3 linked regions of the Caenorhabditis elegans genome follow. The protein of the gene in region 3 interacts with the protein of the main gene of each other region in a pairwise test. Each region holds a gene or a part of one and is shown on either strand. Other genes may lie near its edges.

What was found.
Region 1: the proteins of unc-57 (region 3) and ced-5 interact in a two-hybrid assay, tested with the Caenorhabditis elegans proteins (one large-scale study listed by BioGRID).
Region 2: the proteins of unc-57 (region 3) and abhd-14 interact in a two-hybrid assay, tested with the Caenorhabditis elegans proteins (one large-scale study listed by BioGRID).

The regions. Positions count from the first base shown.
Region 1 is NC_003282.8:10,482,122-10,485,877, forward strand, and holds the start of ced-5 (Dedicator of cytokinesis protein 1), read left to right. Parts: upstream 1-1,988; 5' UTR 1,989-2,003; coding exon 2,004-2,034; intron 2,035-2,077; coding exon 2,078-2,434; intron 2,435-2,483; coding exon 2,484-2,677; intron 2,678-2,724; coding exon 2,725-2,861; intron 2,862-2,908; coding exon 2,909-3,126; intron 3,127-3,354; coding exon 3,355-3,756. Other genes in the region: F01D4.5 (PHD-type domain-containing protein), read right to left, coding at 672-688, 729-948, 999-1,142, 1,187-1,371, 1,422-1,527.
Region 2 is NC_003282.8:1,028,065-1,031,820, reverse strand, and holds the start of abhd-14 (AB hydrolase-1 domain-containing protein), read left to right. Parts: upstream 1-1,781; 5' UTR 1,782-1,804; coding exon 1,805-1,960; intron 1,961-2,017; coding exon 2,018-2,139; intron 2,140-2,191; coding exon 2,192-2,393; intron 2,394-3,548; coding exon 3,549-3,636; intron 3,637-3,700; coding exon 3,701-3,756.
Region 3 is NC_003279.8:4,673,002-4,676,757, forward strand, and holds the start of unc-57 (Endophilin-A homolog), read left to right. Parts: upstream 1-2,133; 5' UTR 2,134-2,137; coding exon 2,138-2,473; intron 2,474-2,746; coding exon 2,747-2,875; intron 2,876-2,923; coding exon 2,924-3,076; intron 3,077-3,457; coding exon 3,458-3,645; intron 3,646-3,756. UniProt on the Caenorhabditis elegans protein: Involved in synaptic vesicle (SV) recycling in neurons probably by regulating clathrin-mediated endocytosis. By controlling SV endocytosis, regulates the rate of excitatory postsynaptic currents (EPSCs) at neuromuscular junctions and thus locomotion.

The sequences.
Region 1 (3,756 bases), on a different chromosome or scaffold from region 3:
GACGTGTCACTTTTTCGGGGTGAAATTTCAAAAATTGCGTTTGAATTGTTATTCACTTTTCATTGACGCGCGAGCGCATCTGATAGGTAAATGTTCGCCAACATTTTTAGCCTATTATAGGGAAGCAGAAAAATGACTTTTTGAAATCGACGTGAAAACTCGCTCCTTGGTTAATTGAAAACGCTCCGCCCCCGAACCATGGGTCTCGTGGTATTTGGAGTTAAATCCGTAAATTCGATTGTTTTCAAATTTTTTCAGCTTTCTCGTCTTTTTAATGATTTTATGGCAAAATTTAAGACTTGAAATTTTCAGAAAACTAAAAATAACAAAATAGACAAAAGATGGTTGAAATTTATGCCAAATTCCTGACGAGACCCGTGACTCGGGGGCGGAGCGTCATCACCTAGATTTCAAAAAGAGGAAATTTTCTGCATCCCAATAATAACAAGAATCGTTATTCAAGTGTTGCGAAAATGTGGAGTTTCAATAAAATTAAATTTGTATTATAAAACTGAAATCTTTTATTTCGTTGTTTCAGTGTGCAATTGGTAAAACATGGGACATGAGAATGTAAAAAATGAAAAAAAAACATAATTGAAAAGCAAAACTTGTTTGATGAGAAATGAGAATCGATTTTTCACGAATTGCACAAGAGAGCGTGCTCGTCGAGTTTATAGCCTGTAAAAAACTGATAAGAGTGGGAGGTATTTTGTCTGGAATGTCTGTACCTTTGTTTTTGGCACATGGGTAATGAATGAACGTGTTTTTCTTATTTTGTACAGAAATTGCGGCACCAGTTTTGCGGCAAACTATGCACGTTTGAGACCAGAAAATATCGATTTGATTATCCAGATTTGTTAGCTGATTGCCGTGAAGATGCACATTTGGAGCCCATAAAACACATGAGCCATGGAACCATAATTCGATTTTTGTAGGTTTTTTGGCAGTCTGAAAAGTTAATTAATTTTTAGATTTTAGAGAATGGGATGGGTTGTTACAGGTTTCTTAGCCAGGAAAGATGGCCAATATTTAATTGGATTATGTGTTGCATAATATGGTCCAAAAAGTTCTCGTTTCTCTCCATTTTCGTGGCACAATGCACACACATAGGAAGATTCAATGGCGTCTGACTGCTCTTCCCACTGAAAATTAATAATAAAAATTAGATTTATCATTTTAATCGTACCTGAAAAAGCTTTGTCATGTGAAAATCCAAAGTTCGATTGACAGTTGCTTCGTGATTCCCCGAATTTTTGATAACTGATTTTCCATTTCTCACTTCAAACATCGGAGTCTCATCTTTTCTATTTGATTTATACTTTGAACCAAATTTTTGATTTATTTGAGTGGCCATATTTTTGTTCTCTTCGTCTGTAAATCAAAGTGAAGAAAAAATATTTTTATTATAAAAACCAATTTACACTCTTCATCTTCCTCATTTCTTTTCTTCTTCTTCACACGTCTCCGTTTTTTGGGTGGTGATTTATGCACTGAATTTGATGTAGATTCTAGATCATCAATTTCCATTGGTTTTCTGGAATTTTTTTTCTGATTCTATAGAAAAAAATTTAAAAATATAACACGAAGTTACCATAAAATATAGATATTCACATTATATTTATGACAAAACATGCATTTTATCGGTTTTGTTATACATTAACTATTAAAATATTAAATTTAAAACTGTTAAAAATTCAATGGAATCCAAAACGTATACGGTTATTCTGCCAATTGACTTCCAAATTCATTCTCCCGGCAACAATGGCCTAGGTTCCACAAGCATAAATCCTCGGCCACGGTTTGTGGACTCCTCTCGGATAAACAGTTACTCATCAGAAATAAACAGTTCTCGTGATATTTACGTTTGTTTCTCACAGAAACTGTCTCCGTTTTGATTTGTATATTTATATTTGATATTTTAAATTAATATAACGTAGTTTTAAATTAAATTGTCCGTTTTAATTGAAAATTCAAGCTTAAATCTTCAGATAAATGAGTTCGTAATGGCAACGACGGGTTTCTATTATGCAATCGGTTTGTTTTCACTTCGCAACTATTTAAATATCTTATTTTTCAGTTCAATACACATTTGAGGATCCGCTTCCATCTTGTGATGCTCCACGATTAGAACTTTTTATTGGCGATCGAATATGTGTTTACGGGCAGCACGGAGAGTGGGGATATGGTCGAAAATTTGACGAGAAAAATGGAAAATGTGGGATTTTTCCACTTGCCTATGTACAAATCGTTCAAAAGTCCATGTTCGTATCGACAAGTGACGGATATCTCGTTGTGGATGAAATTTCCAGAGTTATTAATGAATGGTGGACCAAAATTAAAGAATTGATGGTGGAAACGACAAGGATTGGATCATTCGAAGACTTGATGGATAGTTTTAATGAACTACTAATAATAAAAACTAAAATCGAAAGTGGTAATTTTGTTTCTTTATCAGGAATATAGTAAAATAATTATGCTTTTAGGTGGGATTCCAATTGAAGAGTTGAGCAAACTCCGATTGCGCGTTTCAAAACTGGTAGACCGTGGAAATACAATTCTTGGCCAAGATGTAGTGATTCGCAATGAAGAGGGTGTTCCGCTTGACGTTGAATCACTTTCACTTCTTAGAACATATGAAGCACACATTTCTTCGAAAGGAAGGGTCGGATCATTGATGGTATACTATTTTTTCTCTTACAAGCAATATATTTTTCAAATTTTCAGCGGGAGAAACCTGAAAATGTTACAATCAACGATAGTTTCTCATTGCTGCTCTCCATTAAATCTGTCGAACTCCATTGTAAATATTCCTGTGAAATAAGCATATCACTATATGATCTGGACAAGAAAATGTTCACCACGTAACTCACAATTTTTCTGAAAAAGACAATAGTTGCATTATTTTCAGAGATAGTTATACATTTCTCTGGAACAGCGGTAGTGGAAAACACACGGATTTAAATTTGAAAGCACTGTTCACTGATTTTGCAAAAGAAGATATTCAGAAAAAGTATTTGATGGTAACTCGAGTTGTTCATGTATCACCGATTGAATCTTCTAATGCTACGATGAGAAAGCATGGACATCACGAAGCAACTATACCAAAGACATTTTATTGTAGGCAATGTGAGTTTAAATCACAAAATGAGCTAGTGTAGCATGTTCTCCCAGTAATTTTCGCCAATTTTTGGCGAAAATTGGTTTTTTTATTTTTATTTTCGCCTATCAATATCACTAAATTTTAATGAAAAATATTGGAAGAACATGCCCACTGCCTGATTTTGTAGAATTACCGGTTAGTAATTGCCGCGCAACCCTGGTTGGAATACAAAAATTTATTGCTGCTACTTTCAGCGTACGCCTCGGACATCATGGAAATGTCAAGCATCTTTCTTGCTGGTGTTGGCCACGAAGCAAAAGAACGTGTAATTTTCCTGAATCGAGAACCAGAACTTCCATTATCTCTAAAAGCATATCACGCTACAAATCGTATACCGAAGAATTTAAGCAACGATATGGAAACAAAACTATTGATAAGTACCCAATTAGTTCCTGGAAATGTTTCTCAAATCAAGGCAAGACACCCACATTTGTTCAGTAGATGTCCAGCGGCGATTCTACGAAGAGCTGATAGAACAGCAGTTTCAATTGAAGATAGTCGAAATGAGATGTATATTACTTTAATGCAGGCTGAATTATCTGGAAAATCATCTGATCGTAACATTGAGGCACGTCTTCATGTCGTGGAATCAAATG
Region 2 (3,756 bases), on a different chromosome or scaffold from region 3:
TCGGTTATCTTTAGTGGTATCAAAAATTTGTTAACTAACAAAATGTTTGTTAAGTATTTTTCTATGATTTTCTAGTTTACGGTTTATTGATATCTTTCAAATAAAGCGAGATATGACCTGCCAAAACCAAAGTGAGAAACATGATGCATCGACTGACTCAACGTCGGCAGCTCATATCTCGGCTGTCTTTAGTTGTATCAAAAAGTTGTCAACTAACAAATTACTTGTTACATTTTTTTATTATAATTCTGTAGTTAAACTTTTTTTTTGATATTTTGATATCTTTAAAATAAGCCGAGATATTAAAGGTGGTGTAGTCGAATTTGAGACTATGCTTAAAAATCTTCTTTATGCTCGTACAAGTCGATATGAATAAGCGAAACATCACAAAAATTTCGCTAACGGAAGTTATGAGCCTTCAAAGTGCCGAAAAAAATCTCTTCGTCCATCTAATTTGAATTTCGCGCGCAAATGAGCGCCCCTCGTGTGTACTCCTCTCGGACAATCACATAATTAATTTATTGCTTTTCGGCAATTTTAGGTGATTTTTCGTACTTTAATGAGCCTATTCTCGTTTTTTATTGGAAATTTATGTTTCGAGAGACAATAAATCGTATTTTGTCAAATATTTAACGTAATACAGTACAAAAAATGGAGTAATAACTGGATAATTCAATAAAATGCTAGTTTTGTCTATTTTTTGGTGTAATTGAGCAATCAATCGGTTCAAATTATATTCATAGACTTTCACTCTTTGTTATTTCCATTAAAACACAGAAAAAACTATGAAAAATCTTTCAAAAATACGAAAAATCGCCTAAAATTGCCATATTTGATTGTCCGAGAGGAGTACACACGAGGGGGCGCTCATTTGCGCGCGAAATTCAAATTGGATGGACGAAGAGATTTTTTTCGGCACTTTGAAGGCTCATAACTCGCTTTAGCGAAATTTTTGTGATGCTTCGCTTTTACATATAGACTTGTAAGAGCATAGAGAATGTTTTAAAGCACAGTCTCAAATTCGACTACACCACGTGGTCGCTGGCTGTCTCAAAATTGCTATTTTCTCGCGGACGAGAAAACGTGAAAAAAATGAGCGAAATGGCCTTGAAAACGGTGGAAGAGGAGGATTCCTCGTCCCCCCGGTCGCGTAGTCCTCTCGGAGAAGAAAATAGCGTGTAAAAGATGAGACGCAGACAACGAGACGGTCTCATTTCTTTTCTTCGCTCGTCCGAGTGAATTTCACCGACAATATTCTGAATGGGGCGCGTTTTCATCGAAATTATGCAAAGAGACAGCCAGCGAGCACGTGCTACACCACCTTTAATTGTCAACGTGAATGGGTGTAAAACATGGTGCATCGACCAAAAAATCATCATTAGGTTTACTCTCGGTTATTTTATGAGTTATTATAAAGCTGTCAACTGACAAAACATCGGTTACATCCTTTTCTATGACTTTGTAGTTAAGTTAATTTTTTGATATGTACAAAATTGAACAAGATACAAGCTATTAAAGTTATGTGACGCATGCTCAAAACTTACCGTTAAGCTTTAATGGCTCATATCTCGAATTTCTTTGGTTTTATCAAAAAATTGTCAACTGACAAAATATTGGTCAGCTTTTTTTCTATAACAATGTAGTTTTTCATTACTTTATATTATTAAAACTAACCGAGATACAAGCTTCCAAAGTTAAACAATTCTAAATCCTTTCTTTCAATAAGCTTTGTTTTATCTCAATAATCTAACAAAACTATCAATTTTTCCAAATTTTCAAATTTTCAGCCCCGATCAATACAAAAATGGTTCTTCTCCACCACCAACCCCTAGGATCCCACCACGCCACCACCAGTGGGGGTTCTCTACTGGAACGAGCCGACCTTTCGCACCCAATTCCAGAAAATGCGCGGAAACTTGCACAGCTGGTGGAGTATGATGAGAGCCGGGTGGAGTTAGGGGTGAGATTTTAGCTTTTGCTTTAAGTTAATTTTGTAAAATTAGAGTTCGAGTTTCAGACACATTCAGTATTCGTCCGAGAAGCCCGTCCACCTGGAGCACACTATTCCAAGGCTACAGTCATCTTTTTACATGGACAGAGCTTCTCATCATCTACGTGGACAGAGAATAATTTGTTGAGGTGAGGTTTTTCTTGATTTCTAGCTTAAAATTCAAGTTTTCAACTATTTGAGAACATTCGCGGCTCTCGGCTACCGTGCCATAGCCATCGACCTTCCCGGCTCGGGCCAAACTCGCGGAGCAGCTATCCCACAAGCTGAGAAACCGAATTTTTTGATGGATTTCATCGAAACGCTGGGTCTGAAGCAGGTGATGATTGTGTGTGCTTCGATGGCGGCACAATATGTTTTGCCACTGATGACTTCTACGAGACATGTGAGTTTTTATCAAAAATTGAGATTTTTGGTTTCGAGCATTTGTCTATGTCAAGTTCCATCAGTTATATCTTTAAAAAAGATATCTAAAAAATTTCAGAAAATGTTTTTCTGCAAATTCAAATTGCCTACCATAGTTTTTCATAAAGTTTTAACATCCAGCTAAAATTATTCTATGAAAATGTTGCTTCCCGCGCGTCAGAGTGCTCCATTTCGGTTTGATCTAAGTAGATCTACAAAAAATGCGGGAGAAGAGGCGCAGAGTTCTCTGCTGATTCGCATGGTTAAGAACGTGCTGACCTCACATTTTCTTGGGCAAAAAAATCCCGCATTTTTTGTAGATCAACCCGTAATAGAAAAGCCTGGCACCACAACCAAAATTATATTCTTCATAAAATTTGAAATTGCCGCCAAGAAATATTTTCTCATAAAACTTTGATTTTTAGTAAAAATTGTTCTGGAGAACATTTGAATTTCCAGCAAAATTCTATTTTTCCAGAAAATTTGAATTTTCCGCCAACCTAACAGTAATTTTGACAACTATAACTTCTCGATGAGCAATTGTCTATGTCGACTTCCGATTTATGATTTTCCTTAAAAAATTAATGTTTTTGAGCAGGGGTGTGCGGCAAATTTGCCGAATTTGCCGAATTAGCCGAGCACGGCAAATTTCAAAAAAGTAGATTTGCCGAATTTGCCGAGCTCGGCAAATTTCGAAATTTGCCGCACACGTCAAAAATTTAACAGTACAATTTTGGCTAAAATTATTGATTTTTTCGCCAAAAATTTAGTAAAATGACACAAAATTGAGTTATTTTTATGCTTATGCAGACATACTACACGGAACTTATTCAGAAACCAGATGTGTGTTAAGAATTCGGTAGTTTTGGTGTTCCAAAAAACATCAAGAATTATCAAAATTTTCCGAATTTGCCGAGCTCGACAAATTTGCCGAATTTGCCGTGCTCGGCAAATAATGAAAAAAGAGATTTCCCGAATTTGCCGAGCTCGGCAAATTTTGAGATTTGCCGCACACCCCTGTTTTTGAGTAATAATTTTATCATACTCCTATTAACTATTTACAACATCAAACATAGAACATTGAACACAATTTGACACCAAATATTGCTCGTTCAATTTAATTTCACTATTGTAGCTCTCATGTGTGGTCCTAGTCGCCCCATCAAACACCCACGAAGTCGTCAGCCCTTCTTCCTATACTGTGCCAACTTTAGTGGTTTGGGGTGAGTTTTTCTTTCTTTTTACTGTCAAACAAAAAAATCATTGTTAACCTTCAAATCTTTCCAGGCGAACGCGACACGTCTCTGGGCCCCACTGCAGCTGCAAATCTCAAGAACCTTCCA
Region 3 (3,756 bases):
AACTTGTATATCGATTATATCTTCAAATTTTAATTTTTTAAAATCATTTTACCCAGTTGTAAACAAGTTTTTCATGAACAAATAAAAAACAGCATGAAAAGCATAATCTTGGTAGACATAAGGGTTAGAATTTTGCCTAAAATTATAAAAATGGACCGAATAAATTCAATAATGTAAAAAAAATGAACAAACATTTCTCAAGTTTTCAGTTTTCCATAAAAAATTATAAATTTATGTAAAATTATCGATTTTTAGACCAATTTTGAAGATTTTCTTTCGGGTTATCAAGTTTTCTTTACGAGAAAATGTCATAAATTTTTTTGCAAAATTGAAAAATCATTGGTTTTTTTTCTTGAAATTTAGAATAATTTTATAAATTTTTAAACACTTTTTTAAAATTCGACCATTATGCTCCATTTTCTAGCATTTTAAGCAACCCCGTCTTTAAAAAGCTGCATTTAAATTATATTTAGCTTTAAAACTCTTTTTATGCTAGGAAAGTGAAATTTCGTTAATCATTATCCAACAAATGCTCTCTGTCGGGATAAAATTTAACTTTTCCAATTGTTTTCCAGATTTTTCCAAGTAGCAACCCTTGAGTGTGCCCAATCATTATGCCTATCCACACACACAAACATTAAGTAGTGGGTAGGCTAGAGTCTTTCATGCACAAGCAAATATACACCGATTCGTCTTTTTTCCCTCTATCTGCCACATAGATAAAAGAAAGAATAACCTTCTCCTCCCCCACAACACCACCACCACTAACGGCGTCTTCTTCGTCTCAGTTTTCTTTGCTTTACGTAATCTACGTCTTCTATTTTTTCGGGGTGCTCTCTTCGGTTGGAACTATGTGTGAGAGTAGTGTGTTTCGTGTGTCTGTGTGAGTTTTTCCTCATCTTTCTCTCTCTTTTCGCGCGGAAAGAGGGCGCCCGAGGTCGGAGAAAAAAAATGAAAGGCAGAGAGGATGGAGGACACAGAGGAACGAAACGAAAATAACTGAATCGATACATCTGTGGGGTTGGCGGTGTTGAAGAGAAGAAGACGAAGAAGAAGATGAGGGGGTGGAGCTCTCCGTGCACAACGGCTTCTCCTCCCCCATCTTTCTCTCCCGTGCTTCTCCTTTTACTAGAGTCCGGCGTTGTGTTGTGTGTGTGTGTCCCCGCCTTTTTCCGGAATACGAAAGTAGGTCTAGTTAATGGTTAACTACCTCTCTTGCTCCGAAGCAGGCTTTTTCTTTAATTGCTTCTTGCAACTTTTCTGAAGCTCTACCTTTCTACTGGGAACTTGTTTTCTTTGAAATTTAGAGTTTTTAAAACTTCCTTCAGTTCTCATTCTCATGCTTTATAACCATAAAAGTGTACATCAGAATAAATCCTAGATCATAAGATCATTCACATTAGCATTTCTTTTTGGAATGCTTTTTCCGAGAAAACTGCACTTTTGAGGATTTTATCTTCGAACTGAAAATTCGAGTTGTACTTTTGAAAAAGTTTGTAGCGATCTACCTGATGTCAGTTTTATTTTAGATTTCCTGCACAGTTTCTTTCATGAATTTATAATGTTCAACCTTTAGTTCTCTCAGTTTTAAGGTTTAATGCAAAGTTTTACATACAGCCTGAGGGTCTGTGGATTTTTTTGTTTTAATTGATAGAAAATACCAGATTATACCTATGAAAAATAGTTTTTAAATTTCAAAATTTGATGAAAAATCCGAAAAAAGTGCCAAATTTTGCTTATAATCGAAATTTTTCTAGAAAACCGACCAAAATATACAATAAAGATAAATATTTTGATTAAAAAAAACTGTATTCCAACTGCTGAAACAAGGGTGGAAATTATTTTTACACTTTTTAATTTATTATTACAAAATCATTAGAATTTATAATTTTTCAACAGTTTTATCTGATCTTTAAGTGGTATTTTCTTTCATTTAAAATAAAAAATCCACAGGCGAAACTCCAAGAATTCAAGAAGCTCATTTTATCGAAACTTTCAAATCTTGCTCACCGTGATTCCCAAGTGTTTTAAATCTAAAGGAAAATAAGTCTGGTTTTTGAATATTTATTTTCAGTTGTTTTAATTATCAATTAATTAACATGTTATTCCGAATCTAAAACTCAAAATTTTCAGAAAAATGTCGTTGTCGGGGTTACGTAAGCAATTCAACAAGGCGAATCAATACCTTTCGGAGACGATGGGCGCCGCAGAGCCAACAAAACTTGACGATGTGTTCAATGAAATGGAGAAAAATGTGGATACAACGTATAATTTAATTACGGATCTCGTCGCCGGAACAAATGAATATCTTCAACCAAATCCAGCTACTCGAGCAAAAATGGCCACACAAGTTGCCCTGTCAAAAGTTCGTGGAACTACAAAAACGTCACCGTATCCACAAACAGAAGGAATGTTGGCTGACGTCATGCAGAAATATGGACAACAATTGGGTGATAACAGCGATTTGGGAAAGGTTTGCCATCCCTTTTGGAATTTTAATTTCTGAAAAAAAACCCATTTTTTAGCAACATTTGTCAATATTTGTTCTGTGAGCAATTTCTGAAAATGTGACCAAAATACAGCAAAAATAAAATTACTATTTATTTTGTTTATATTAATAATTTAATTGAAACATTAGGTTGATATTAGAAAACCACTACTTCGGTATTTTTTAGATTAAAATTTTTTGCACGGCTTCAAAATCTTCTTAATCATAATTTTAAATTACAATTTTTTTCAATTCCAGAGCCTAAACGATGCTGCAGAAACGTATCGACAAATGGCTGATATCAAGTATCAAATGGAGGATAATGTTAAACAAAACTTTCTCGATCCATTAACACATTTGCAGAATAATGAGCTGAAAGATGTGAATGTAAGCTTTTTTGCGTAAAAAAGGGTTTATTATTAATTCATTATTCAGCACCACCGCACAAAACTGAAAGGACGTCGACTTGACTACGACTGCAAAAAGCGTCAGCAACGACGTGATGATGAGATGATTCAGGCGGAGGAGAAGCTGGAAGAATCAAAGCGACTCGCTGAAATGTCAATGTTCAATGTGCTTAGTAATGATGTGAGTTTTACGATTTTTTTTTGGAAGTTTTTACTATTTTCCCCTATTAGACTTGCTATTTGACATCGGTTACCCTTAGTTTTATTTTTAAGAAGGATTATTCTCAAACTTACGAATATAACAAAAGAAAAACGGGAAAAATCCGTTAAGATTTCGAATTTTTATGTCAGAAAAATCAACGAAAAACCTTCAAAATTTAACTAGCGAAATCATAGGCCACGAGGATTGTTCGAATTTTGATCCTGTTCTATACTATGTTTTTAATCAGTATTTTATACAATTCCTTTCAATATAAGCTGTCAAAGTTTAATTTTTTTTTAATCTGCTGAAATTTTTTTCCACTTCCCCTTTTAGATATAATCACAAAAAAATTCTTTTCAGGTCGAGCAAATATCTCAACTACGAGCCCTCATTGAAGCCCAACTCGATTTCCACCGACAAACAGCCCAATGTCTCGAAAATCTACAGCAACAACTTGGCCATCGAATCAAAGATGCAGCTGCCAGGCCTCGTGAAGAGCATGTTCCATTATCAGTTCTTGCAAATGAGAGCAGAACTCCAAGATCCAGGTTGGTATAAGCATGAAGAGTGAGAAAATGCATGTTTGTTGTGAGATTTTGAACGCTCAAAAAGACCTAGTTTTTAAAAAACAGCTAATTTCTTGAGATGCACTTTTGAGA